Linked DNA regions of Arabidopsis thaliana. The protein of the gene in region 1 interacts with the protein of each later gene in a pairwise test. Each region holds a gene or a part of one and is shown on either strand. Other genes may lie near its edges.

The links.
Region 2: the proteins of LSU2 (region 1) and HUB1 interact in binary tests that used the Arabidopsis thaliana proteins (3 or more experiments, as listed by UniProt).
Region 3: the proteins of LSU2 (region 1) and ZML1 interact in binary tests that used the Arabidopsis thaliana proteins (3 or more experiments, as listed by UniProt).

What each region holds. Positions count from the first base shown.
Region 1 is NC_003076.8:8,438,309-8,446,053, reverse strand, and holds LSU2 (response to low sulfur 2), read left to right. Parts: upstream 1-1,952; 5' UTR 1,953-2,297; coding exon 2,298-2,582; 3' UTR 2,583-2,775; downstream 2,776-7,745. Other genes in the region: LSU4 (response to low sulfur 4), read left to right, coding at 4,917-5,195; AT5G24650 (Mitochondrial import inner membrane translocase subunit Tim17/Tim22/Tim23 family protein), read right to left, coding at 7,195-7,234, 7,326-7,388, 7,489-7,637, 7,741-7,745. UniProt on the Arabidopsis thaliana protein: May be involved in defense responses monitoring. Probably implicated into osmotic stress signaling.
Region 2 is NC_003071.7:18,540,396-18,552,959, forward strand, and holds HUB1 (histone mono-ubiquitination 1), read right to left. Parts: upstream 8,258-12,564; 5' UTR 7,853-8,257; coding exon 7,736-7,852; intron 7,556-7,735; coding exon 7,394-7,555; intron 7,311-7,393; coding exon 7,232-7,310; intron 7,113-7,231; coding exon 6,885-7,112; intron 6,787-6,884; coding exon 6,625-6,786; intron 5,895-6,624; coding exon 5,701-5,894; intron 5,626-5,700; coding exon 5,542-5,625; intron 5,417-5,541; coding exon 5,297-5,416; intron 5,201-5,296; coding exon 5,014-5,200; intron 4,924-5,013; coding exon 4,763-4,923; intron 4,681-4,762; coding exon 4,609-4,680; intron 4,396-4,608; coding exon 4,319-4,395; intron 3,946-4,318; coding exon 3,751-3,945; intron 3,640-3,750; coding exon 3,567-3,639; intron 3,475-3,566; coding exon 3,388-3,474; intron 3,312-3,387; coding exon of another isoform or gene 3,276-3,311; exon of another isoform or gene 3,152-3,275; intron 3,150-3,151; coding exon 3,012-3,149; intron 2,927-3,011; coding exon 2,724-2,926; intron 2,630-2,723; coding exon 2,464-2,629; and 4 more. Other genes in the region: AT2G44970 (alpha/beta-Hydrolases superfamily protein), read right to left, coding at 8,604-9,077, 9,260-9,547, 9,628-9,725, 9,811-9,860, 9,972-10,100, 10,266-10,512, 10,687-10,813, 11,049-11,111 and 1 more; ASG3 (SNF2 domain-containing protein / helicase domain-containing protein), read right to left, coding at 11,948-11,972, 12,049-12,163, 12,290-12,454, 12,535-12,564. UniProt on the Arabidopsis thaliana protein: E3 ubiquitin-protein ligase that monoubiquitinates H2B to form H2BK143ub1. H2BK143ub1 gives a specific tag for epigenetic transcriptional activation and is also prerequisite for H3K4me and maybe H3K79me.
Region 3 is NC_003074.8:7,417,124-7,426,980, reverse strand, and holds ZML1 (ZIM-like 1), read right to left. Parts: upstream 4,946-9,857; 5' UTR 4,760-4,945; intron 4,160-4,759; 5' UTR 4,150-4,159; coding exon 3,856-4,149; intron 3,740-3,855; coding exon 3,647-3,739; intron 3,574-3,646; coding exon 3,440-3,573; intron 3,352-3,439; coding exon 3,220-3,351; coding exon of another isoform or gene 3,216-3,219; exon of another isoform or gene 2,849-3,215; coding exon 2,743-2,848; intron 2,616-2,742; coding exon 2,544-2,615; intron 2,446-2,543; coding exon 2,383-2,445; 3' UTR 2,076-2,382; downstream 1-2,075. Other genes in the region: ACA9 (autoinhibited Ca(2+)-ATPase 9), read right to left, coding at 33-102, 187-276, 371-502, 573-685, 773-812, 909-1,211; AT3G21170 (F-box/associated interaction domain protein), read right to left, coding at 5,821-7,008; MNS2 (alpha-mannosidase 2), read left to right, coding at 8,653-8,814, 9,017-9,064, 9,278-9,439, 9,612-9,724. UniProt on the Arabidopsis thaliana protein: Transcriptional activator that specifically binds 5'-GATA-3' or 5'-GAT-3' motifs within gene promoters.

The DNA.
Region 1 (7,745 bases):
AACTGGAAATTATTTTCTACATGTATAGCGCTGTTGCTCACGTAACATATATAGTTGCTGATGTAATTGGGTGTTTTAAAATCTATTTAGGATATTTTGGATGAATGATGATTATTTTTTTAGTCAATTAGATAGTGGTCACTGATCAGCATCCATAGAGCATATTCCAACTAAAGATTTCAACAGTTGGTGACCGGTCCCTCTGTGTTTTCCAATATATTTAACACAACTTTACATAATTTTATAACCAATATTGTTTAAGATTTTGAATTATAGCTAAAAAGAGAGAAAAAAACAATATTGATTCGGGCCATCAATTTTTTTGGACCAACCTTTGCTAGGAAAACGAAGATACACATCATAAGGTGACGTATAGAACAAAACGAACAGACAAATAAAGCATAACAGATGTAGTTTGTAAAGAATAAATGGTGTAGAACGAATAGAACAAAAGCTGAATAGATATCTTAATTAGTTTGGTGCGAGTAACGGATAAATGAGTTATCAAATTTTGACTAATGTTTTGAAGTTTCGAAATATATATATGATTGTATTAATCGGTATTTAACGCTTATGATTTTTCAGTTTATACTTGAATCACCCTACTTCTTGAGGTTGGTGTGTTGTCCAAATATGATTCACAAAAACATGACCAAGAGTAAAATCAAACCGCACCGTATTATTTTATTATGCTTCATGACACCATTCATAACCAAAGTCTTCTTAGTTTTCCCCATACACACCAATAAAGATACTAAAGAAATAGCTAATAAGTAATTTAAGAACTATGAATCGTAGCCGTAACTTTAACTATACAAGAATAGCTGTATAATCGTGACAGCCCTTGACTTTGGGAGATATTGTCCAATACTCCAGTTAAGAGAAAGAAGTGGGAATGTGGGTTACATCGACAAAGGCTTTGCTCCAAGTTAATTAATGGCTATAATTGGCGGAATATATTAGTGGAAAATATAAAGGTGAGAAAATGATTTCTACATGCCTTTTAGCAATTAAGAGAAATAGTGGAAAACAATTATTTTCTCTATATTCTATGAAATAGCAAAACAGAAAAGAAAGAAAAAAGAAAAAAAAGAAGTTCCCCTTTGAAATAAGTGGGGTTTCATTGAAAATTCAAATAGTACTACTCTTTCATTCTTTTAGTGTCCAGTCAACGTTCTCGAGAAGAAAATATATTCAACGATTAGTTTGTTGTTACATGAGTTTATTGAATTAAGTTTTTAGAATGAATATATAAAATCTTGAAAATTGGATGCTTCAGAAGCAATTTTCAGAAATTTTGTTCAATTCATGGTAATAAAATGTTCAATTAATTAAAGTCATTTTTCAAGTGCAAGAATGGTAATGTTAGCATAATACAGCGGATATATATATCCTCTTTGAGGATAAAGAGTTGGTGGATATAAATATAACTCATGTTATTTCAATAATAGTCACAATCTTTTCTTTACATGCGTATATGAAAACATATTTGCACAACTTATTCCTGAGTTTAGGACCATTATTAAGACGATGTATTATTATGATCTATTAACATATAGTTGTCTTTGATGAAATTGACAGCTCATTGGGGCTATAATGTAAGAATTGTTCATTACTTTTACTTACGAGCTACAGTTTAGACTTGTATAAATAGATTGAATTACTAGTATTTATGGTCCAGTAAATATGAAATATTCATTACTTTATATGTATAGCAATTAGATCAAAGTAAAATGGTCCAAAATATGTTTTAATCCACTTTATTCAATTAGACAAAGAAATTTATTCATTCTTAGAAAGCAAATACTCCATTTTAAAAAAAAAATATCAGTTTAAACAAATATTTTTCATTTTAAATCCGTTGCCATATGTATTATTGAAATGACAAGAGTTATTATGACTGAACCAATACATTTTACTATATTGATTGATAAATTTTTATTATAACTTATCTCGTGTCTCCTCTAAAAACAAATTTGTCTCTAACCAATAAAACAATTATATGGTACCACTAAAATATTCCAAAATATTAATTGGACCCAACGTGTATATCGAAAATAATTTAAAAGAGAAAATGTTCTAGAATCTAGAGGAAGAAAATAACTCACCAGAAATAAGAAAGAAGAAGAAGAGATATAGATACATTGAACCTAGACATAAAACCCACCCAAACCCCAGTCTCAAAGACGCCTATTAATAAGGAACGTTCAAGAACCAAAACAAAACACAAAAAAACTCAAAGTGACCAAAATAACCAAAAGGAGAAATCTTTAGAAAACCTTTAAAAGTTCTTAAAAATGGGGAAAGGAGGAAACTATGTGACGGTGGCGGCTTCCGAAGTGGACGAGCTACGACGGAAGAACGGAGAGATGGAGAAAGCTGTGGAGGAGATGAAGAAAGAGATGTTGCAGTTGTGGCGGCGGACACAGGTGGCGGAAGAAGCGGAGGAGCGTCTCTGCTCACAGCTAGCCGAGCTTGAAGCAGAATCTTTAGACCAGGCTCGTGATTACCACTCTCGTATCATCTTTCTCATGAACGAGCTCTCTCGTCTTTCTTCAGACTCTGCCTCTGCCTCTCCGTAGAATTAGATAGATATTTGCTTTTAAAGAAAGATAGGTTTTTTAGATTGTTTGATGTATCCTCTTATCGGCTCATATCAATGCCAATATGTAGAGTTGTCTTTAAAACAAATATGGAAGTTTCAATCAAAAAAAAAAATCGATGTTGTTACCGATTGATTTTTGCGATTAATGATGAATGAAAAGTCTTGAAAACAATTTAAAGTAAATGATATTCGATGTTTGGTTTGACTAAAATGGAATTTTGTTTGTAAGACGTGTAAATTACTTTAACAGAAAGAAAATTTAAAGCAATTATGGTCATGTTTCCTATTATTATATGTGAAATGACCAAATTACAAATAAAGATTTTGCTTTTAGATTTTTGCGTATTATATGAAGAAGTGTTTGAATTCTACTGAATCATTGACATTGCAACAGTGGTTTTGGTCTTTCTAGAGTTTGACATAGTAAAATTGGAGAACTTGGTTTGCTTTTGGGAGAAAAAAGGGAAACGAATATACGGATCCAACGCCAGTGTACTATGTACAAATATAAACAAAGGGTTTGTTTTTGAACAAATCTAGTTTCTGACAGAACCAGGTGACCTGACGTGGGCAAACAAGTCTAGTCTTTTTTTTTTGTTAACCAAAACCCTTTAATTTTTCATAAATTGTGATGCAATTAAAACAAACAAATATTTATAATGTTTTTTTTTTTGAAGTATAACTAGAATTGTCTTTGGAGAGACTTGGAAACTGATGATCCGAGAGGAGATCTCTTTGAATTATGAGAATGATAATAGTTATCTTGTATTTCTTTCTAACCATATAAAACGGATTTTCTGACAAAATGTTTTGTGTTTAAGTGTACTTTTGTAATACCAACTTAATTTATATAAGCAAGTTGTGCACAAAAAACCAATTATGTGCAATTCAAGTTTACATTCATAATTTCTTAGCAAAAAACAGAGAGGCTAGAGATTTGGCGACCTATTGGATGGTGGAGCTAATTTCATGTGATCTTTTTCTGAAATAATTGGAAAGCTAAACCCGAAAGAGAAGGATTTGCTAATTGGTAGGCAAATAAAAAGATCACATATATGATATATGGCCTTTGAGTCATTTTCATGAGTATGTGTTTTATATTAATTGGTCTAGATATCTATGTGATACCTAACATAAACAAAACAATAATCCATTTTTCTAACTACAAGTAAAGTTTTGAATGATGAAACGTAATCGGTCTCTTTAGGAAATTTAGGATGGCCAAACTGCATTTTTTCACTGATAATGTTTTACCGTCGTTGGTATAAACGTGTACTACTTCTTGTACATAACCATTCAGTGAGACGGTAAGAAAATGGTAGTATATAGACGGGTGGTATCATCATGTTTTTATTTATCGTATTGCTACCTTACCACTAGTTTTACCTTTTGTAAATATATCGTCATCTTTTATTGATATCTTATATAGTCTTAGAAATATATATTGGTTTGTCATTTGTGTCACTAATTAGACTATTAGCTTTTCTTTTTGAAAACATATTATATGCTAAACGTTTATGTAAAATACTTGAGTGAAACAAAATAGAGAACGTCATGAATATAAGATTTATATAACGTCTGTATAACCGAAACACTACAAGTTTTTCTTTCTTTCTTTTTTTCTCTTTCAAACACAACGACCACTCACGAGCCACCGTCAATGACATTTCATATGATTTATTACGTTATCTTTGTCATAAAGCTTAATGAGATGTGAAAATAAGAATTACAAGGAGATTCATTACTCTGTAGTACTATTATTACGTAACATAAGAGTCAAAATTACCAAATACTACAATATTATGTGCAACAATTTAATACTTCAACCCACAATGATCAAAAATAATTCGTTAATCGGTATGCAAAAACTTTAAAATCAAATATTAAAAGAAAATGAAAGAAGTACATTTTATGGCCTCCCTATTATTAAAGCCTACAATAGATTCATTAGTAATATAGTCTCCTTTAAAAGGATTGGTCTAAAGTTTTCGAATATCCTACCCAAATCTACAAAATAGTTTTGCTAAAAAGAATTCACATGTTATATTATTGGATCCAACGTGTATATCGGAACATAATTAAAAAAACAAAATGTTCTAGAGGAAGGAAAATAACTAACCATAAATAAGAACGAAAAACAAGAGATATCAATGAATCTAGACATATACCCACCACCCAAAGACTAGTCGCAGAAACGGCTATATAAGGAACAATCAATTACCAAAAGAAGAAGAACAACAACAAAAAGTAAAGAGACACAAAAACAAAGAAAAGAGAAATCATCAAAAACCATAAAATAAAAAGAGAGAAAATGGGAAAAGGAGGAAACTATGTGATGGTGGCGGCTTCGGAGGTAGAGGAGCTACGACAGAAGAACGGAGAGATGGAGAAAGCGGTGGAGGAGATGAGGAAAGAGATGTTGCAGTTGTGGAGGAGGACACAGGTGGCTGAGGAGGCTGAGGAGCATCTTTGCTCTCAGCTTGCCGAGCTTGAAGCCGAATCTTTAGACCAGGCTCGTGATTACCACACTCGCATCATCTTTCTAACAAACCAGCTCTCTCGTTTCTCCTCCGACTCTGCCTCTCCCTAGAATAGATATTTGTGTAAAGGATAGGTTCTTAGATTGTTGGATCATATATGTATCCTCAAATTGGTTTATATCATTGCCAAATATGTAGAGGTTTTTATTTTTGTCTAAATCTTGAATTTCTCCTTGGAAAATTTCTATATAAACAAAAAAAAATCATTGTTGTTACTGGCTCATCTTGGGATTAGTCGGGCGCTTCAACAAAATCCAAATATCACGTAGTAAATCTTTAAAAACAATCGATCTTGTTGAAAATAAAGCAAAAGATATTCGATTTTTGGTTAGTAATAACTCAAACTTTGTTTAAAAGACAACTAAATTCCTTTTATATTTTGAAAGCAATTAATAAAAAAAATATGTTTCTCTTCTTTTCATATCCCATTTGTTGAATAATCTAGAGTAATTGAAATAACGATTAGTTTGATCGTTTATTTACAAATAAAGATTTTAGTGTTCCTAGATTATTTAGGGACCATTTCATCCATGCGTCTTCCGTTGAATCGTTGACTTCTCTGCCCATGCAACATTGGTTTTCAGTCTTTGTAGAGTTTGATGACGTTTAAATAAAACAAAATATATGCATTTTATTTTGAAATAATTCTAAATTTTCTAAAGAAGGAGCTTGACATCGAGCTGGAAGCTTGTTTCTTATCAAAAGATTCGGCGACCTATAAGGAGCTAATGTGATCTTTACCAGAAAAAAATTCGAAAGGTAAAACCCAAATAGAAAGTTGTATATATGCAATTAGGCTCCTTCTCCTTGCTTTAAACCCTTCTTCTCCAGCAACAATATCGTAAAGAACAACTAAAATCGTCATCGCTTCATCTAACGCCTTTAGCCTTACTGCTTTGGTTGAGTGGATGGACCGAATTTTAGTTATTGTTTATGCTTCCATGCTTTTACTTTTTTTTGCCATGGAACCATTTCTATAGGTCTATAATCATCGATTGTAACTTAAATTGTTTTCATTTTTATGAAATATTTATATTCTTAGCAAAAAAAGAAAGTTGTATATATGCTAAGTCGTGGGCAAATAAAAAAGTAGTCCAATATGTGAGATATGACCTCACATCTACATGCCTTCAATTTGAGTCATTTTCAAGAATATATGTTTATAACAATTGATTTTAGATGTGGATGTGATGCCTAACATAAATAAAGTAGAAAATATACAATCCTAAACTACAACCAAAATTTGGAATGGTGAAACGTAAACGGTTTTTTAGGGAAATTCAGGATGGTCATCTAACGACCATCTATCTTTAATTCATTTTACAAGTTTGTATTCAGTCCTAAAAATCTGTAACAAAATCTTATGATAAAAGCTTAACATAATTATATATATACACTATAAATTCAAATCTAAACAAAAGATCCGTAGTAGCACAAAGGTTAAAATTGAGGACATTCTTCTATTTCCGGGTTCAAATCCCGGCTGCGGATTTTTTTTTTAAATTAATAATATTTACATAATTGTATATATACACTATAAATTCAAATCTAAACAAAATATCCGTTGTATTACAATGGTTAAAATTAAAGAACATTCTTCCATTTCCGGGTTCAAATCCCGACGGTGGAAAATATTTTTTAGTTTGAGTAAGAAAGATGATGCAAAGCTGTATAGGAATTTTGATAACCACATAAATGTTGGGTGACCCATCAACAAATTTGTTAAAAACTCAAAATCCATGTGTTTTGGTTTCTGTTAAATTAAATAATTAATAACATGGTAATTTAAAGTTTGGCTTTAAATGATCACATTACTGCTGGATTAAGAGCTTTTATTGGGTTATACATACATTAATTCAACTATTTCCAGGTACATATAGAAAACTTTGTGTGAACTTTTAGATATCGCGACCATATTTTAAGGTTGTATTCAATTTTTCTTGCTAGCAACATCAACCAATAATATTTAAGAATAATAGGTGCTTGAGATCCTTATAACATCTTACAACAACAAAGATTCTGCAGAAGAAGGAGAGAGGCTCTCAAGTCTCAACCACGACTTCCCCGCTTGCCCTTTAGCTCAGGGTCCCTGTATAAATAATCACCACAATTCAATTCACTTCAGTCATTTCGCAGATTCATGTCTCTCAAAATAGGGCGATGAGCAGTTAGATTCGAACCTTTGGATGTGATCAAGTATCAGTAGCCTTGGTCCAGGCGGGATGCTCACGTCTCTTAGCGCGCTGGACACACAATTTAGCGGGCATAAGATTTTGATCTAAGACAATTAACTTTAGTTGGAACAGAGTATGAAACCTCTGGAGCTCAAAACAGTATAGTTACCTATCAGTGAGCAATGGCAGAGTTGGGTCAGCTAATAAACCTTTCTTGAAGTTCTTCTCATACTTCTCTAGACCCAGTTTCAACAACATAGATCTTCCCCGGGTGTAATATGGATCTTCAACACTTGGTTTAGAGAACCTTTCACCCAACTGAACAAGACCGAAAAGAAGAAAATAGAAACAGATGTTTAATGACATGCCTGCCTAGTTTCAAGAAGAGTCTTATCTCCTATTTATATATATGATCACTTACCTTGA
Region 2 (12,564 bases), on another chromosome or scaffold:
ATCTAATAAATATATTTTTGATAAACCATAAAAAGTTTTGGTTTCAGTTTTAGTGTTTCACCAATCAAAATAGCATTGATTAAATTTTGTATGTACCTGGATTGTTTGGACGATTACCTGACTGACAAGATACAAGAAGGTGAATTTGTTGTTTGGCATCTTGTGGCATGCAAACCTAACTATGGACAGACTCTTAATCAGTCCATTTTATATTCTTAAGACTACGATATTTGCCACTGGTTCCGTATTATTGGACGGTACAACTATAGATATATTATCTCTTCTTTTTTACTAGCAATGTGTAAAACCAATAATATATCTAATTCAAAAAAGCAAAGGAAAAGGAACCCTATGTATACCAAGAGGGAGCTAATTATATTGAAAATGTTGAAAATAGTATACAAACTTAATTTTTATCATAAATTCGAATTATTTGGATCGAAATTGATCTTGTCCCGTGACACTATTTTCAAGGTAATTAATTTCAACAAGTATAATAGACTAATAAGATCAGATTTTTTTGTTGTTGTTACCAAATAAAATATAGAGTAAAATGAAAAAGATTTGAAATGTGTATAGTTGTATTAAAAAAAAAAAATCAAGTTCCACAAAAAAGATAAAATTGAAGAAAATGGAGTCGTAGTGCTTTAGGAAAAGTAATTAAGATACTAAGTGTATGATTGTTTTCCTCTTTCGTCAATATTATGCTTTTAAAAGAGAAAAATGCAGGTTGACAGTGTATTAAGCTATTTTCTTGTTGGTCTTAGTTTACTTATTTATGTGCGTGACCTTATTTTATTTCTTGTTGGTTTAAGCTATTTTCTTTCTCTTTTACAGTTTTACCTCAAAAACAAAAACAAAAACCACTGTATAATATATATAGATAATGTGTCAAAATGTTCGTAAATATAACAACGAAAAAATAGGAACAAGGAAAACTTATTACTAAATATTTTGCTAACGATTCTTATGTATAGTTGCATTGTTAAATAATAATATAGTCATGAATTTCCTTACTATAAGAAACGTATTTAATTTCTTACTATTATAATTTATAATGAATGGTCTTGTTTGTAACACAAACAACATATTTCTACCACAATCTGCACTTTTGATATTTTAATCAAATTAGTGATATACAGACGTATATGTATATAGATCCCGAGAGATAGAAGCAGAATGGAGCTAAAACATGTGATCTTTATCTTTGGGAATAAAGTGGCCAAGAAAAGAAAAAGCAAGCAATTAGAAAGACCAAACTCAAAGCAGTAGCAGAAGAGAATAACAATACGAAGAAGAAAATAATTAAGAGCATATTGTTCAAATAAATTAACTCTTTCTTTTCACCTCTCAGCCATTTTTTTAAAAGAAAGAAAAGAGAAAAAGAACATGTGCGGCAAATACCAATGATCATGTCTTGCGGGAAGAGGAAACACTTGCAATACTTGAAATGTAAAGGGCTAAAGGAGCAAGTATTATTGGGAAAACATGGTATTGAGGCCATCTAAAATACTTTTACGGTACATTCCGAAGTTGTATGTTAAAGCTCAAAATTGATAATGCATGAAATGATTTTAGTCTTTTTCTTACATTTTCAACTATTGGTTTTAACCCACTTTTACAAACCGTAGTTACAGAGAGAAACACTAGTACTAAATTCACTTATAATATTTAAGGTCATTGGAGATCCACCAAAAATACTTGTAATTCCTACCTAGGATTGTGAAAGACCATCTCGAATCATGATCCCAAGGATCGAAGTCTTTGGAGATGCCAACAAACAAATTGGATTGCAATTCATCGCAAATGGTACAAATATCCAAAATCTTGCCTCGTGTTTTCTAAATTGAGAATCTTAGAACACTACATCACAAACGTTTGGATCATACACAAATGTAGAACAAAAAAGAAGATTTAATTGAAAAATCAATTGCGGAAACCATGTTCCAAATTACAAACAAAAAGGAAGTATCACCAAAGACATAAACCCTAACAGTGTTACCTATTCTCTATCACATTATCAAAATCCCAAAATGGTTCCTCAAAAACTCTGATTTGCCATATCCAATTATTCTTCATGACCTTTCCCAATAAAAGAGAGTAATAATTACAGAGAGATCTAATGTTTATCCTATATGAGAAAAAGTACCTGTGTGTGTTTCACAGTTTCATCATACATCATCATGCTCAGAGTGTTTTGGTGCGGTCATATGTAGATAGGTTTAATATCATTTGGTCCAAAACTTGCTGAGCATGTTGGACACTTCTTTTGTCGAGTTCCTGTGAGCTTTTGCACACATGGGTTGCAGAACAAATGGTAGCACTTCGTAATCACCACCTAGTTTGTTAAGCCAAAGACCAAAACCAATCAGCAATCACGCACGCAGTTGACTAAAAGATTCAAGGGATCATGATTTGAGCGTCTTGCTGAGATCTAAATAATGGAGAGCAGTGACTCTTTACCTCTTTTGGGCGATCGTTGCAGGCCTTACACTTCAGAATTTCTTTAAATTCACTGAGTTCTTGTCGGAGCTTTTGAATGGCCGATGATCCTTCTATGAGAGACCGAAGACGAGAAACTTTCTTTTTGGCTATTTCCATTTCCTCCTCTATCCTTCTCCTATTGAACCTGATATACGCAGAAAAGAACGATACCTTCATCACTAACACTTGTTTATGACTATTAATTAGGATAGAGAAGATGGAGGGAGCAATTGATTTACCTTTCAATCTCCAGTTCCAGTTCTAATGCCCCATAATCCAGCCGACTTTGCTCAACTTTAGAATGGGACTCCTCCAGCCTTGACCTAGCTTGTTCCAAGCCATTCCCGATGTCTGCACGTTTCTTTTGCAGATTTTCAAGAGAAACAGACTTTTGATATTTATCTTCCGCTAGTTTCTGAAACTGATCTGTGCAGAACCTCAACTGCAAGGAAAAAGAAAAACACCTTAGTCAAAGTCTCACAATAAGGAGGCTTACAATTTGAGCATACGGGCACACACAGATATACCTGATCTTCAATTCTTGATGATTTCTTGGATAGGAAACTGGCATATGCACTGCCTTGCTGTATATCCTTATCCATGATGTATTTATCGATAAGCAGAGTATCTTGCATCTGCCTAGAAGTTATGCCTTCCAAGAAAAGCTGAAACAACAATGGGCGAGCAAAAAATTACATCTCATTGTCTGATCCAAGTAACAAACCATCCTTTTTTTCATGATATTCTAGCAAAACATACAAGGTATAACCACAGAAATTGGTCCATGCCCATTAAAACGATCCATCAATCTCTGAATAAATGTAACACTACTAGATATAAGAGTAAGTGAGAAGTCACAGAGATAGATCAGATAGAGGAACTAGAAGAGTTTGGACACGATACCTTGATGTTATAGTCATCCCTCTCTGTAACTTGAAGCAAAAGCTGTTGGTTTTGCGGTACAATGTCCTCATAGGCACTTCCAATTGTCTAAAAGAATATAGTTACTGTAAATCGATACGCAACATCAAGGTTTTTAAAATATGTTAAGAACAAAGAAACACGAAATTTCATAAGCCAACCTGTATTTCAGAAAGATATGTTCCATGTTCTTCATGTTTAGATTTCAAGATATCAGAATGCTTGGCGACATCCCTGAAACAGAAAAGACTTATCCTTGTCAAACAAAAAACTCTCAAAGAATTCCTATGGAAGAACTGCGTGATTGCATCTATAAATTGCAGACTTCTACTTATACTTATTTACCTTTTACAATCATCCATTTTCTGCCTTAAATCAGCAATCTCTGCTTCCGCAGCAGCCAACATTTGTTGGGAAACGGCTTCAGCTTCATTTGCTGCCTTAACGCGCAACTCCAGATTTTGCTCATCAAGGGATGATTTCAAACTCTGAACATGAGCCCAAGCCCTGTACTCCTGTTCCTTGGCTTCAGCTATGTCCCTGCCATAGCACATTATCGACAGTGATGCTTAAGGCAATATACCAACCGCATTATAATAATGTGTTCAGTCAAGATAAGAAGATAAACAAATCCTAACACATCCAAAAGAGTTTTTATCAGATGGAACTGTAAAAATAGATCAGATATTAAAAGCTGTCATGGATAAATTGAAAATGTGAACATAAGTTTCTTCAGAAACGCAAGAAAAATTAACAACAAACTTTCAGCAAGATTCGATAGTTCAGTCAGAAGGCAAGATTAATAACAGCACTTGTTGTTATACTATATATTTGGACAGTGAGAAGGGGAAGATAAGGAAACTTTTCTCTAAGAATTGAAATCTTAGATATCGTTATATATAGTTGTGCTTACCTCGCATCAGTGGACTCACGTTTATACATGTCCAGAAACAACTTTAACTCCTCATGACTGTTCTTCAAATCACAAACCTGCATGACAGACTCCAATCAATTGAAAGTAAAGAACATAACAACTACCACTTTGCCAACCAAAGACATTTAACAAGATTTAAATTGCTAATCCGCCTTTTCACTATACTTTTTCCAAGAAATAATGCAAAGTAACAATAACCAATATGAACACTGTCAACATATATAAGTCATGGGCAGTACACTGAAAAAGGTAGATACATTGCATCATACCGTAGCATTCAGGTCACCTAACTGAGAAGCATAATCAGCTGATCTCAATTGCAATGCTTCATACTCTTTTGTCTGTTCACCAATTAAGCTTATTAAGTAAGCATAACATAAACTGTAACAATAAGCATCAATCACTGTTCACATTATTTCCCACCTTCCTACATAGAACCCCAGAGAGGGACTGGACATCAGCCCGCAGAGAATGAATACCTCCAGCAGTCTCTTTATAATTGTTTAATTGACTACGCATGGAACTCATTTCCTCGGGGAACGAAGAAATTAATGCCTTCATATCTGCAAAGATTTCTTTTCTACCTGACATACGAATAACTTAATCAGACTCCAAAGTGAAACAGGTGTGGGTGGGAGATACAGAATTGGAAGTCAAAGTAATCAATTTGTGACCTCGCTCTCTTGATATATTTCCCAGCCTAGTCTTGATTCGCATTTTTTCATCCAGTTGTTTCTGTATCTCCGAATCCAAAGAAGCCATTCTAGAATCAGTAACAGCAGACGTCTTTCGAGAAACATCACCTAGTTCATTTTTTATATTTATCTCCCTTTCCTTCCAGACTATACTATCTTTTTCAACCTGAAATTTTCGAATGGAGGAAAGCTTCACAACTAAATATACAACGTAAATTTTATAAACATAGATACAAAATGAAAATCGCAAACCAGATATAACCTGCAGTTTCTCAAGTAAAGCCATATACTGGAAAACTGCTTCTTTGGATTTTTCTAGCTGGTCTTTCAAAGAAAGGCAGGCTTGAGAAGATGAGATGCACCTCACAGACTTTGACTTGTTCTGTTAGAAAACTCTTACATCAGTTTTAGCAATAGGAAGAGGCTACCATTCCACAAATTTTCATATATCAAACCCCATACAGAGACAAACTAATACAAATACCCCAATTGGATCAATACACTGACCTGTAAATTACTCATTTTTCCAAGCATCTTTGTCCTCTCCTCATGAAGATTTTTTAGCTGTTGTAGCCTGCCTGAAGCCAGGACCTACCGAAACCAGGCCGTTATCAACCCAAAACTTAAAGAATTACCAATGAAAACAAATCAGAAAAACAAAGATACCGTTAACTCTTTCAGAACTGTTTCCATGTCTTGCAGATCCCTTTGTTTATCCCTCTCCCGATCACTGGTAGCAAGCTTATTTCCAAGACTCAACACTGGGAAAAACGCCCCAGCTGTTGCATCCCTTTCTGCTCTCAATGCTGACAAGTCACCATTACACTGCTGAAGCTCCACAACCTCATCCTCTAGCTCCCCTTCGAATAGACCAAATAAAGTATAATATCAGTTGATGCGGTAGTCAAGAAGCATTAATCCAAAAGCAGGCATGTAAACTAAAATAAATTTTAACTCTTTGAATTTCTTAACTGTGGCTACTGTCAGTATTGAAATCTTACATCTTAAGGTAAACGGGTAATTTATCAACAAAATTAAGATGCTTCACTTATGTGGATGTATGTCATTCTCAAAGAATTACCAGCTTCTCTATCTCCTAAAATCTACCGAAATATATAAATATGGGTAAATGGTATAAAAGAAAACTAAGAAGTTCATGTCTCAGAAGGGTTTTGTACACCCATCAGTTCGCTAATGAGTATATCTTCCACAGCTACATGTCTTCTTAACAGCTGGCTCTACCATAGAGGTTTTCTTCCAGTCTTAATGTATCTCTCTCTTCAATCTTAATCTCTATGATCTAAATCCAATCATGGCTATTAAACAACTGAGTAGTGCTGGACATAAATACACAGGCGTGGAATTGGAAGATTCACAATTTGATCACCTCTACTTACACTTATCCTCATCAATCAAAAGCGAGATATGATTTCAGTAGCTTTTCATGTATATAGGACCTTTTTTTGTCAAGCCACGTATATGATTACAAATTTACATTTGATGCATGAATACTATATCCATATAAACAATGCCAATTAAAAAATCCATTTTAACAGTATATAGTCGAGTGAGACGAGACTAAGTAGCTACCTCTTATTCGTTTGAGGTCTACTCTAACTTTAGCATCAGCATCGCGATGACTCTGCAATTCTCTAGAAAGTGATTTGAACTTCACAAGTACATCATCTAGATCCCCTCTGAAACTTTTAATTTCTGATTCCAACTCACTCAGAGCTAGCTGACCGCACAAATCTAGAAAAGAAAGCAATTCCACATAGGACCTGGGTTAATACTAAAATGTTATAAAGGCCATAACAAGAGCTGACAATTGATCGCAGTGGAAGTCATACCTTTACCAAGATTGGTTCTGAGAACTGTGGGATATAATTCATCCTTCAGACACCTCAAATCCTCTGTCGCGGCTACTAGATTATACAAGGTTTGCGTCATCTGGCTTGACGTATTCACTCCATTTTCTTCCATCTGATTCGAGCAGATATTGGATGAGGAGCTCTCAGTAGCACCAGTTTCAAGTAGCCGGTTGATGAAATCGTTTTTCACGGCTGGAGAAGACCCATCTGTGTAGCAATTTAAAGTTAACCTTTCAAAAAGTCATATTTGTAACATATAAAACCAAATCTAAACTAGATCCTAGCACTAACAGAACGAAGAAAAGGCGGGCTTAAGTTGTTCATACCCTCCTTGTTTACAAACCTATGAGCTCCGCTGCTTGAATCACTCACACGAACAGAGCATGATTCCACTGAAGCTGTAAGCTGCTATACAAGCATTAATTAGTTCTCTAGAAAAAGAGATCTAATCCAAGTTCTATTAGAATCGAAAGCAAATTCAGTGTTACCTTTTCCCAAGACTTATGGACAGTCTTCAAACTGGAGTTGTATGGTAATTGTTTTTCCTTGATCTGAGAGAGTTTATCCTCAAGAATAGAACACTCAACCTGCTGAGCCTCTAGCTTTTGTGATAGCTTAAGATTTTGGAACTGAAGAACTGCAGTATCAAGCTGTATCAAACGAAAACAAACTCCTTAAGAGAGAGAATCCCAATTCCAAAATAGACCAAATTCGAGACAAAAGACATTCAGTATATGAATCTCTAATAGCTGGAAAGCTATGATTGATTGGATAAGTAAGAGAATAGATGTAAAGGGCATGCACAAGGGGGAGATGAAGAAGAAAGAAACCTTGTCCTCGGAGGAGGGCCAAAAGAAAGGCTGTTTCTTTACGGCGGCTGCAGCTTCAGAAGGTGATATGGAGCTAAAGTGACGCCTTTTACGGTCAGGCTCGCCTGTGCTCGCCATTGAAAAACCCTAGAATCGCCAATTAACAGGATTAAGCCTTGTCTCACATCACCATCAGATTGAGTTTGAGGAAGCTCGAATACAAATCCCCCAAACCCAATGAGAAAACCCTAAACGATCCAAAGCTACGTGATTGCTTTAACCGAGGTAATTCCAATTGCTCCGCAGCTCTCCTTCGGAATAAAAAAAAACAAACAAAAAGAAACCCTAATCTCACAGGTCTTCCAAATTCGATCAGACTCTAATGCTATCAAACGCAAACAGACTTTGTCTGATCTTTGTGCGACTTAGATATTACAAACCGAGAACACACACAGCACTCACAGAAACAAAAACAAGAGTGAAAAGAAAGAGAGAGAGAAGAGAGAGTTGAAGTTAATTCGAGTACGATGGCGTAATTTTGTGAACATCTGGAGGGCACTTTCGGGAATTACATATTCCACTTACAGTATATAAGCATCGGCCGTCCATAGAATCTCCAACGATCCGAGCCGCACGATCACGGTTCGTTAAAGGAATAGAGAGAAAAACATAACTAATCTTCTAATAAAAATTAATCAACAATAAAAGAAAAAAAAAGAAGCAAATTAAGTAGTCTTATAAATATAAAATCTACCGTTTGTAATAATTTTTTTGTTATCGTGTGATTCAAACCTGATAGTAAATTAGTAAGAAATAAAACAAAAAGATAGAAACAAATACAGTAATTTGAAGTCTCAAGACGAAAGTAGAAATAAAACAATTTGGTTTATCAATCGATTTTTGTTGCGAGTTTTTGTTGCCTCTCTTGCTCAACTTGGACAAGCAAAGTTAAGAGCGCTTCACAAACTTGAGCAGCATCAGCTTCTAAAGGAACCTCGTTCAAGGAAGAGTACACCATCCAGGCATGGTCTAGTTTACGTTTGGGTCTAACAACCACAGAACCAGGAACCTCTGCGTCACAGCAAGTCACTAGCCCGTCACTCTTTTCACCGTATCTGACTTGAAGTAGCTGAGCGCAAGCAGCCATTGCAGCACCAAGTGGCATTACCACTGGCAGTTTTGCGGCTTGGTTTGTCAGAGGAAGTTCAGCGTGTGCTACGTGTGATAAAGTGGATAGAACCGCTGGGCTAATGCTAGCTTCTGTGCGGAATGAAACCGTGGGGAGTTCTCGGGGAAGCGGATGATTCTTCAAGAATTCTTTTCTTCTCTCGTATGTTAAATCTTCCAATGCTTGAATGTCACCCTTCACAATGTTCCAAGGAATTCATCAGAAAGATCAGCAGAGCAATAGAATCCAGAAACAAAATAAGTTTTGGTTTATCCCTAGTTTCTCGGTTCCACCTAACTAAGGATTTTAACAGGCAATCACAAGAAGCTGATATAATGCAACTGAAATGACTTTGTTAGATCAGGAATGTTGCAAACCTTTATGACTTTGGAGATTAGAATCTCCATCATCTTTCTCAAATTGACGTAATCACCTAGTTGTCCTTCACGGAGGATATCTGTAGCTATTGGGCTTCCACCATATGGACTCTGCGCCAGTACCAACCCAGCGACCTTATCCTTTAGTTCAGGCCAGTATAGTGATAAAGCAGCAGCTGCATCTATGCCTCCTTTGCTATGCCCAAGAAGTAGAACCCGCTTATTAGATCCCCAACAGAGTTCCTCTATGTATTCCTTTATCTCTCTCGCATTTTTCTCAACCGAGGACTGATATATAAACATTTCTCCATATATTAGTATGCTATACACCAAATGTAACTGTACTAAGTTGAGTTAGTTATGATTACCTCGCTGTGAATCTTCGCAATATGACACGCCAAACCCATCTTTGAGAATTTCGTTTTCGTATCCACAAAATATAGAGGTCCATGATTGCTGAAAAGACCTAAAAAAAATTCAACTAATTTTGAGAGTCCTAATATACAGTAATGTAGTTTAAGTGGCTGGCAGCAAAGAATAAGAATTGCTACCTGGAACCAATAAGTACACCACTGTATTTGGAAGCCTGTGTACACCATGCCTGGATATAAAAACCAGATCAACGCAGCCATTTAGTAAAAAACAGGATGTTAAACAGCATATTGAAAAGGCCACAAAGCACACAAAACATGCAACTACAACCAATTCATACCCGATGTCTTCCAGAATTTTATTGAACCTATCAGTTCCATCTTCAACAGGAGGCATCTCCGGGGCACGCTGTAACCATCCTATGTCATCTGCCGAGCCACGAACAGTCCTCCGTGCCCGCTCAATGAGCCTGATTGAATTAAAATAGATCAATCACCCAAATGCTGAAAACTTGACAAGAAGTAGTAGTGTATAGAGATTATTGTATTGCTTCAGTTTCACATATTCATAGTATTAAGATTTTACATATCTACTAGTATGGGGAATTTGTATCTGTAATACAAAGTACACGTACCCTTGGAACATTGAAATTCCATTTAAATTTAACCGATTCGAAGTCACTATTGCATTTGTTGCCTGTGGCAGAATCTCTGTAGATTCCCTCGACGGGCTGTTGGCATCAGATGTAGATGCCTCTGAAGAAGTTGAAAACCTTTCACCAGGCGAAATGCATACACTCACTGGGGAATTCCCGTCAACTCCGGAAGTTGATCGTAACAACTCATGGGGGTGGGAAATAGTATCCTTGCCACCATATTCTACTGAAGAAAGCATTGAAAGAACAGATGCTAAGCAAAGCCTGAATTATGTTACGGTGACGATAAGATCCTAACACCATAAATATCTGCTAAGCATATTTTCCATAAGTAAAGCCTAGCATATGAACGTGGAATTGCATACTGAGTACGACATCAACAGATAGAAAGAAAGGGTACCTGAATAGTCAGAAAAACAGCTCCCTAAGTAAGACGTTGCTTGAGTTATATAAGAAGCAGCTTCATTAAGAGCTGGTAAAGAATTAAACACTTGTGGTGCAACCGCATTGTCCCCATTACCACCGCCCTGGCCATGGAAAAATTACTGATATTAGAATGGTAGTCTCAATGCATAAAGAACCAAAAATTACGAATATCCTCTTTAACCCCATTTTAATCAACTTATATGTTTCCGTTGATATAGAAACCAAGAGAACGTTAAGTTGACTCCAAACAGAATTCCATTAAGATGAGAGCATAAAGCAAGTATAGTTTCTGAAAGTATTATCTAAAAAGTGAGAAAAGGAAGCCACAATACTTACAACAAGAGGCGTGACAGATTCTCCGTCTCTGGATTGACCAGCTTCTCCCATTTTGATCAATTTCTAACAACATAAACAAACACACAATCAAATATAAAATCCTTCATATATTCATGCCAATGAACAACAAGTAAAGAAGAATTACAAAGACTAAGCCTATGAAATGATAGCTTTTCCAAATAGCAATTTCAAAATTTTAAGCTTCCATGTTTCTTCTAAAAATTTCGGAAAGCACCGATTTTAAACTGATTAACGAAGGTTGCTTAACATGTCAAAATACCAAATCCATAAAAAATAGAAAAGAAGACGTGAAAAAAAGAAATCCAGCGGGAAGAGTCTCGAATCCGGTTAATGAAACGGCAAACAACATTAGGAATTGATAACATGCAAGTGAAAACACAGACGCTCTCAATTTTTGCATTGATGACAAATAAACAACAAAGTTGATGACCGGATCCAAAAATCGGCAACAAGTTTGGGAAGAACGGATTGAGGAAGAAGAATCAACTAATCAGAATTCGGGAAACGTAGAAAAGGTACCTGGAGCTTTAGGAATGTGGGATCAAAACGAAACATAGACACAAGGAGACAGTTTCTTCAACGATTCGGATCATATTGTCCTAAGCCGCGGGGAAAAGAAACCTCGTGAAGAAAATAGAAACGCGATTTCAATTTTGACGACCAACGTGGAACCAGAGGCACTAGAGACGCAACACGTGTAAATTGGCTCAGTGATCAAGATTGAATTATAAGATTAGGCTATTATTTAATTATACATTAATATGGGCCACTACTGGGCCCAATTACAAGTCTTCCTTCTACATACAAACGACACCGTTACATGTACAACCAAAAGCAAATTATATTACAGCGTCAAAAAGACTATCCCATTGTGTGATTCAGGGAGATCGACGATAATAGTACCTACAAGAAAGCAACAAAAATGAGTTTGCTTTGGATTATTCAAAAGAAAGAAGACGGGCGACACATATAAACTTACACGAATATTTTGACGGTGAAGATGGAGGAGTATTTTCGAAGAAGACGCTCAACAGTGTACCATTGAGATCGGTCTGATCCGTCTTGGTAACCAATACGTGGCATGTGGAGTGAGGCTTTTTGAGGAGAGAACATTACCATACCAGAAATGACAACACAAGTGTTAAGCTCTTTGGGAGCACTTTTGTTTATAATTCCAAATATGATGAAACTTTAAAGAAAGAAAGTAATTAAGTTCGTACCTGATTTCTGAGAAGCAGAGAATGAAGCTTTGGCTAAGCAACTTTCAAGGTCTGGAATTGAAATGCTACTACGTGGGACTTTACGCCTCGAATTGTAAGATTGTGTAACTGCAACTGCCACCCAAAGAGGCTTGCTTGCTTGTGTGTTTTGTTGGTCATCATTGTCTACACAACACAAAATACATGAGAACTCTTTGATGTTGTTAGAAAATGAAAGGAAGATAGAAAAAAAAAAAGTTGCAGACCATCAATTTTTATGAGATGCAGGTCTCCAA
Region 3 (9,857 bases), on another chromosome or scaffold:
AGAATTTATCACAGAAAGAAACATGTATATACCTGTAACAACAATGACAAGCAAAACCGCAAAGGCAATGCTTCCACCATCAAGCCAACCTTCTTTCAAACCCTGATCATGAAGTAATAAGACAGAAAATTAGTACATTCCTGATTTCGAAAAACTAAGAACTTATCGAAAGGAAAGCATGTATACCTCTGTCTTTATTCCCAATGCCAATGATGTTACAGCCGCTATGATCAAGATGATGAGAGTTAAATCTTGCCAAGCTTCCCAGAGGAACATCTTTTGGACAAACAGAAAGTTGAAAAAAAACATATGAGTATCCACAAACCGATAAAAACACGGTCGAAGAAGTTGTAAAAGACTCTTTGCTTACAAAAAAGTTTTTCCCCTTCTTTTTTGGGTAAGTGTTAGATCCAAAAGCATTCTTCCTATCTATCACCTCTTTCTCATCCTCATTGATTCCTTGTTCCATATTTGACTTCAACTTCTCTGCAACACCTTTGACCTGAAAGATATATTAATGTCAGCATCAAGAAACCTTCCTATTTATGGAATGTGTGAGTCTTGAATCATACCCCTCCATATTGCTGCAAATTGGACATGTTCTGGTTCCTTGTCATAGACACAAGCTTTTCAAGATCAATGTCAAAGTTACCAGTAGAAGCTGCTGGTGTTGATGATCCAAACGCTAATTGATACCAAAAGAAACTAAAGATTATTCAACAAGAAACCAGAAAACAAAACAGAGATTTGCTTGACTTATAAGAGATCATACCAATTTGTTGTTCACCAGCCAGTTTAAAAAGCAATGCTGCCTGATTCATAAAAGTGATTTATCGATGTGAGATTCAATTAAACAAACAACATTGTTGTTGAAATGATAGGAAGAATTATATAAAGAAAATACATACCCTAATGACTTGAGCATGAGCTCTGATCATCCTCCTTCGATTATCATAATGTTCTTCTTTATTAAGATCCAAAGTGTATCGAAACCGACGCGATGCGTTCAACACAAGAGCGGCTTGTCTCCAACGACGAAGAGATTCAACAGAAGCGTTCTTGGTGTTATCAATATCAAAAGGATCATCAGGATCATGTTGAAGCTCTTCATGATCAGAATGTTCTTCAGTTTTAGCAGAACCAGCTTCCATGTCGTCATGACGTCCTGACATTGACGTCAGAAGCAATCCGTTGCTCGACGAAGTGCTCATTCTTCCTTCCTTCGTCTCACCCAGCTTTCTTCTTTCTTTTAAAATTCTATTGAAGAATTCGAAACAAAAAACGCAGAGAAAGAAAAAATAGGAACGACCGGTTTTATGATTTGGTCGTTATGGAGAAAAAAAATGATGGTGTGACGGAAGAGAGAAGGCCTAACTCGAGAGAAGGCAACAAAAACCGAAACACTTTCTCTCTTTTTTTTCTCTTACCTCTCTGTCAATCACAGAGAAAAAAAAGAGAAACTAATTTTTGAGTTTCTAACCAACATTAATATTTTGATTTACCCTAAAAAAAAACTATGAAAGAAAATGGAGAGAGGGTTCAAATTGAATGAGATCATTACTATTTTTGGTTTGGTTTGGCAAAATTTGTGGGAAGTTAGTTTTTTTTTGTTTCTTTTTATGGGAAAGAGAAGAAGAAAGAGTTTTTTCCGGGTAAGAAGAAGAAGAAGAACATGGTGGCATCTCTTAACATGGCATATATCTAACCATCTCATTTTTTAAAACAAAAATCTTTCCTTCTTCTCAGATCTAACTATGTTTTCGTTTTGTAATAAGTGGTATACCATTCATCTTTATAACTTATAAAATTATTCTAGTATTCTGATATACTATTGTTCACCTCGTATCATGTGAAGAATGGTACACTAATTATCTTCATACCTTAATCAGTTCTTTCTAATCAAGTTTCCAATAAAGATAATGGAAAAGAATAAAACAATGTGACAGAGAGAATAGTGAAGTTGCTGAGAAATTTCGTTTTAACCTGATGAACGTGTGTACGACATTAAGGTCACTTGGGTTGCACGACATAACCAATCATTGTTTCTATTTTTATACATAGATTGCATTATCTCTACTAAGTCTTAAATATTTAACTAATTGTAATCAAATACAAGAACAAAAAAAAGTTTTCTGCCTGAAAATATAATCAAACACACAGATGAGAGACTGAGCAAAGTTTTTTTTTTCTTTTCTGATGAGTGAGCTTCTAAATAAGTGAAGAGTGTCTTATAATTTGTAGAAGACTAAAATGTGCCCACATAGACTGAGATTAACCCAGAGAAACCCTAAACACAACTCAGATTCGATTCCATCATCAAATGAAATGATAACAACTGTTTTTGTTTGAGATCCTTTCTTGCTTCCAATGGTTTCTCAGTTCTCACTGTGTGTTGCTAATGTCACCAGTTACTTCCATCATTTGATCAGCCTCAAGATTTGCGTCCTGCAACAAAAGTGATTGAGAAAAAAAAAATGAATGTATGTTCTCTTAATAAGCAAATCAAAACTCCAGCTCTATGAAATACTGCGCTCACGGCTCACCTCATTCTTATTCAGAGATAGATGCTGAGGTGTTTGCGGAGGAGGGACTTTGGATAGGTCTCTAAGAGTCCCCTGATATTATAAAGTCAAAGGGAATGTTATTGTTAGGTTCATACTCGGATATATAGGCCTGATCAATGAGTCAAAAAAGTGATACGAGACGAGGTGATCAATGTGAACTAAGAAACTCTTAGCTTACCTTGTTTGCCCACATCAGTCCACACGCATTACAAAGTGTTCTTGGCCCATCAGGTCCACGTCGCATCATTGGAGTTGACTTCTCACTTGTTCCACAGTGTCGACATCTTAACATGTTCACAACCATTTGACGAAGAATAAGAACAGAGACAAGCTTTCCAAGTATACCAAGCTATAAATAAGTTCATATCAACTACAATGACTTAACATGCAACAACATAGTCGGTTCAGTTATTTTTATCCTCTCACAAGTATAAGTTATCAGTTGCAGGTATCGAATGAGTGATGCCATCATGATAAGTATAACTATAAATTTCAGAGTTGACGTATATAGACAAAGTTTATGGAAGTGAAAAGAGCGTCATTAAATGGTTACCAAATAAATTGTTTCCATGTATTAGACTTAATTGAGGTTTTATAACGAGTTCACTAAAGTTAATATAACTGTTGTAAGAAATTTAAAGCATTTTCAACTTACAAAACCTCTGGCTTCTGAGTCTCAGTCCCTTCTACGGCCCAGCTCTGGTTTGACCCCCAATCCGATCCAGTGGATCCAGAATCATCATTGCTTGATTTAGCCGACGTGAACTGACCTTTCTTACGCTGCATTCTGCATGAACAAACAAAACCTTAATTGCAAAACAGACGTATCTCAAAAGCTCGACATACACAAAAGCTAGTACTTGACATAAACGTACCTCAAGGCTACTTCTTTCCTGACTGTATAGCGAATAGTCTTATCAAAGTTCCTCCCTTTTCGTTTCTCCCTAAACCTGAGCAAAGAAGCTAACCGCTGCGGAACGCTAAGCCGTTGAGGAGTACCAGATAGACCCTGGTTCATTTATTAGTCAGCAACAAACTGGGGAATAAACTGATTTCCCATATGGTATTAAATCTTTTATTACCAGTACCCTATTGTTCTGATGAGGTGATCCTAGGGTTGTTGGGAGTGTATGTGGTACTTCCCTTCCACCAAGTAACAAAAGCACAGCTTGAACCTGCATAATATTGAGCAGCACTTCAATAAGCGAAAAACAAAACCAACCAGGTGGATACGTTGACCATATGTATCCAAAACTAAAACATCAAAGAACCAAAATTAACTTAAAGTTACCTTCTCAGGCGAGACACGGTCAAAAACATAAACTTGTCCCTGGAAGGACAATGTCAATTGATCTCCATTTTCAATTCCACGGTCTACAACTTCACCACGATTATCAGCTGAGTTTCCAGGGTGAGAAGGAATGTCTGTCTCCACTCCTTCATCCATCCCACCATCAGCATGGTCATCCATCATACTGTTTTCATTGTCGATATGGTGCAAACCGTGATCTTCATACTGCACATGCATTGGATTTTGCGCTACACCAATGTGCATTCGACCATTTCTTCCATGAAGATCATCCATGGTCTTTTTTCTGCAATTTGTTACCAATTACATCCAAAGGAAGATAACATTAATTAAGACTGGAACGTTCTTAATAACGAAAAAGCGAGATTGTCAGAGACGGTATAGGTTGAAGAAACTCAATAATGGTGGATATATTCTCACATAAATTGAGTTTGCAAATACAAAGAAACTATCTCCACCTAAGGGAAAGGAACTTCATTAATAGTTATCAGCACTGATATAGTACAAAGGAGCTTCTTTTATAACAAGAGTAGATGACAATAATCTAATCTCGAGTAAACAACAACTAACAACAGTCAACTACCTTAAAACGTAACAATATCTACCCAAATCCAGTAAAAAAAGTTTCATCAATCAGATTCGAATTGGAAAAAAAGTCTCCTTCTCTCATGCTCATAAGTCCTAAGCTAAGTCCCAACCTTTAAGCTAAGAACAAATAGACAGAACAATTCCAAATCCCACATATAAATGCTTCCAACTAAAAACCCTCCAAATTCGACAAGTTCATCTACAAACTAGAACCCACTACCTATATCATACATACAAAGACTTGTCACTTGGACAGGGCAATCAAAACAATAAACCAAAATTGACATCAAATGGGTACCTTTTGTGCAGAGGAATCCAAGCGAGAAGAATGAAGAGCCTTTGCAGAGCTAATTCACGCGAAACAATGAAAGATAAAGAGGATTTGATTATACAAAGAGAGAAAAAGGTTTAGGGAAAAATCCCAAAAGGGTAAACGGAGACGAGAGCGAAAAAAGGAAGCTCCTTTGATTTTTTTTTTCTTTTTTGGTCTAATGATTGTAGTGAAAGATTTTTCATTTTTCTTCAGCAAACGTCGTCGTTGTGATCTTGGGCCTTTTTTAGCCAAACGGCGTCGTCTTTGTGAAAGGCTTGACACTCCCTATTCTTTGGACCTCATCTTTAATTGGCCTCTATTTGAGTTCATATGTTTTTCTTTAGTGGTTTCAGGTTTGATCAAGATACACATTTACTCTTAATGATGCCAAAGATATAAAGACATTGGAGATGGTTTAAGGTCGCCAAGGTTTTTCACATAATTCTTTTAATCTCTTTTGTCAAGATATCTTTCTTTTACCAAATGACAATGTGGAATTACATTAGTTAATTCAATTTGTACCCATCTTTAAAAACTTCTTGTTGTTTTGGTTAGAAATCATATATAATTATAATATATCTCTACAAATAAACCATCTTAACACAAAATATCTTAAGTTAGATGGAACCACAACCAATTCTTCGGTGGAAAACAATTGACTCAACTATATCTAATATGTCAGATTTTAAAACTAAATTGCGTTCCTCTTTCATTTCTTAATTCCACAATATACAATTTTATTTTGATTTTATTTGCTTTTCCCTTATTCTTGCACAAAATTTACATATGTTTTGCTCTAATATGTTCTAAGCATTTCTAATTTTTTTCCTTTTCAAAATTTTGGTACTTAATAACTAATTGACCAATTATGAAAATGCCATGTGCCTCGAATTATCCACTAGCAAAAGGGTAGCAACAAGTTATAACTTAGAAATGCGTACATATATCTTACTTATAAAATATCAAGAGTTAGATTAGATAATGCATAGACTAGTGTGACAATTACAAGGCCATGCACTGGCTGACTTGGTGCCTCCTCCAAAGAACTAAATACCATGTTGAATTTGAACCAAACTTGGAACATATATGAGGAGACGTGGGGTAGGAGATAATTCATGTGTAGGTTTTGCACCATGATGATCCAATTCTATGAATTTATCATTTTCCACAATGTGTATGATGTCCTTGGAGTGCCGGTTGGGTCTATGACAAGAAACTACAACAATCTTCTCCTTAACTTGGTATGCGAAGAAACTCACCCCTTCCCTAAAATGACAACGATAGCGTAGACCAACTCCGCCCCGCAGTATTGGGAACTTGCTCCATGACATTGCTCTGGTGTTCTCACTAGTCTTCGTTGCTATCCATAAGTTAACGTTTGTTCCGGTTACGTATGTGTAATTAGTAGATAACATACAAAGTCGTTTCCCTTGTCTAGTCACTGATAAAGCCAAATGACTATCACCCTCTGGGAGAGACTCACTTCCAAATCTCTCTGTTGAGAAATCAAAACTTAGTAAGAATTGTTCACTAATATCAAACCAGTAAGTGATTCCATTTACAGACACGCCACTGGTGATATTTGGATTGAACAAGCCGGTGATCACACCAATACTCCTCCACGAATTAGAGTTAAAGTCATAGATTTCGTACTCGTAACGTTCTTGGCTATTGTTGATAACAAGATCCTCCCCCACGATGTTGTACACGTAACGTTCTTCGCTAGGATTGATAAGACGACCCTGCCTCAAGATTTTGTACTTGTTGCAAGAGGATCTACCGAGAGCATAGCAGTCATCTTTCTTGTAGCAAAATCTTGGTTGAATCCACCTTGTTTCACCTGAAAGCGGATTCCAAACCACCAGTCTATAGTCCTTGGTGGTGCATAGCAATAAGCCATCGCAGTGAAAGACGTGGCCTATATCGACTTCTGTTGAATAATTATTAGAAAGATGTTCTTTTAGGCTAAAATGACATGTTATGTTAACATATGGAGCAACGCTATTGTGAATTCCACGGAGATTGGATCTCACTGAATAAACCTTATGATCAATCAACACGAGAGCCATAGAGTGCCTTGGAGCATTAGAAGAGTGCTTCTTAGAAAGTTTCCCATCTTTGATCAAAGTGTTCCATCGTTTGGATGTTGATCGTAATCGTGCTAGAAATACAGCCGGAACTCTAGAGAGTATCTCCACTACCAAATCCTCCGGAAGGTCGTTGAACGTCATCATCTCTCACACGACTGTGATTAAACCAATTTTCAAAGAATCAAGATGGAGAGACGATAGAATCAAGATTTTTAATCTTCTTCTTTTTTTTTCTTTGATTTACTCTATAAATATGGGAAGATCATTTATATATATAGGAAGGAGGAGATCACGTAATTGTCTTTTATTTTATCCTTTACACTAATAAATATGGAGATTTTTTCTTTTTGTCCACACAGATTTTTAACTTCTTTTTTTCCTAAATTTAATTCTTACTATCTTTCTTTTTTCTCAACATTTATTTATCATTATTAATTTTTTCTATTTCTGTGGTTATAATTTTGTAACATTAAAAGCATATTCAATTAAAATTAAATGTAAATAATTTTATATAAATATGGGAAGATCATTTTTTTTCTTTTTACTTACTCAATAAATATGGGAAGATCATATATATACTTAATATATTTCTATTGTATAACTCAAAATGCTTCTAAGTAATAATTGACTTGTGGGGTTATATCTTTGAACATTATATATCTCTGCCCTACTCCTTTAATTTTTCATGAAGTCATCATACTTACATATTTAATAGACTAATAAATTAAAATGTGTATTTCACTAAAAGTTTGATAAATCAATTCTCATTTTGCATTTGCTAATGTACCTGAATCTATCTACCTATAGTCCCAAGGCACTTGTAAAATAAAATTGGCCTTATGAAATTTTACAAACTAGTATATCCTTGAAAACCAAGATTTTTGATCAAAATGTAAATGAGGCCAGGAACCAAAACCTATCCAGAAAATATCATCTTCCGAGTCAATGAAACCTATGTGACATGCAACTCTATAACCATATCAAATTACACAAAAGACGCAAAGCCAATGTGATAATTAGGATCATTCATAGACCCACCAAGTGTTTCACTGGTCATGGTGTTATAAAAGAAATATGTATGCTTCCTTCACAAAAGAAAACCAACATTACACAACTATTTGTTGTGACTTTCAACTGTTTCAAGACACTAGCTCTGGTCTGGTACTTACCTTTTTGCCTTCTCCAAGACACCTTGTCACAATTCCATGGAGATCGAGACTCACTAATTAAACCCTATAATCAATCAACTTGATAACCAGAGGAGACTGCCGTTGTGTCTAAGCAGAGTCCATCTTTGATAAGAGCGTTCCACCCTTTGGGTGTTGATCGCAATTGTTTCAGAGATACCACCGGAACCCTAGTGAGTATCTCCACAACCAAATCCTCCGGTCCGGAAGATGTACAATGTTTCCCTTCTTCTGTTCTTCATCATCTCTAAAAGCATGTTTTCAGATAACTTGGGATGGAAGTTCTTGGACCTAAAACTTATTCTCATTCATGTGACGTCACAACGCATGCTTTTACTGTGGGCTTCGTCCTAGATTAAATTTGGGCCTCTTCTAAAACAATAAATTACTTTTTGTTTTTCACTTTTTCCTTTTAAGTAAACCAAAATCCAAAACCAATAACCAACCAAACCCAAACCAACTGATTTAAACCGGATCATTCCCTCTCTTTACTCTGATCCGATCTCTTCCTCTCTTTTTAATTCATGGTTTCAATTTCTTCTTCTTCTCCTTTTTCAAAAATTTGTCACCTCCGAGATCAGATCTGATCGTCGGAATTGAGATGGCGAGGAATAAACTTGTAAGTGGTAGTCATGGGATATGGAAATATTTCAACCCAGCGTTTTATCTCCGAAGACCAAGACGTCTTGCTTTGCTCATCATCCTCTTCGTCTCTGTTTCAATGGTTGTTTGGGATCGTCAATCTCTTTCCCGAGACTACCAGGTACGTTATTGAATTGATGAGAGGCGCTAATCGAATCTGTTAAAGTAGGCAGCTAAAGGTCTAGACTTTATGAAATTGTTTATACTGGGCTGTAGAGGAAATCAAAATTCAATCTTTGGATAAAGGAGAGTCTCTGTGTTATGTGAAGATAGGATTTTTCTTTCACATATGTGTGTTTATAATGTATGCTGACTTTTTGCAGTTTGAAGTTTCCAAGTTAAATGAAGAAGTTTTGCGGTTGCAGCAGATGGTAAGTTATTTATTTCTTTTCCCTATGAGGCTTTGATTATACCCAAAGTTTCCTCCTTTTTTTGCATTTGCTTAATTACACAGTGGCTGATATTGATGTGGCATTACGCGTCTCGTGGTCTTGCAAGAATTTGATTTACTATGAGTTTTTAAATCTTGAGAAAGTTATGAGATTTTTTATAATGATCTTAAATTTTGTTGTGTTTTCTGCTAGTTGGAAGAGATAAAGAGCGTCACTGAGGATGTGTCTGTCAATAGTTTGAAGGATGTTCAGGAAGATCCAGTTGATGCTCAGCGAATGCAGAGAGTTAAAGAGGCAATGGTTCATGCTTGGAGTTCATATGAAAAGTATGCCTGGGGACAAGATGAGCTTCAGGTACAGTTTTATCTTTGTATGGTTAGCTACAATGCTGACAGCTTATGTTAACGTTCACCATTGTTCAGAGAATAATTGGGTTGTTTAACTAGTTAAAATGAGAACACTTTCTACTTGCGATAAATATATTTCTGTGAAGCTATTTGTGTAACTTTTTTTTTTGCATTATCAGCCCCAGACAAAGGATGGTGTTGACAGCTTTGGTGGCCTGGGTGCAACTATGATAGATGCATTAGACACACTATATATAATGGGTCTAGATGAGCAGTTTCAGAAAGCCAGAGAGTGAGTAGATTTCTTCCATCCTAGCCTTTTTTAGGAAGATTCTTTCTGGCTTGACTTGTTCTAAACAGGCTTGTCTCATCTTATTGAGAAAAATATAAGTAGTGAAGAAAATGAAATGGAAAAGGCTATTGAA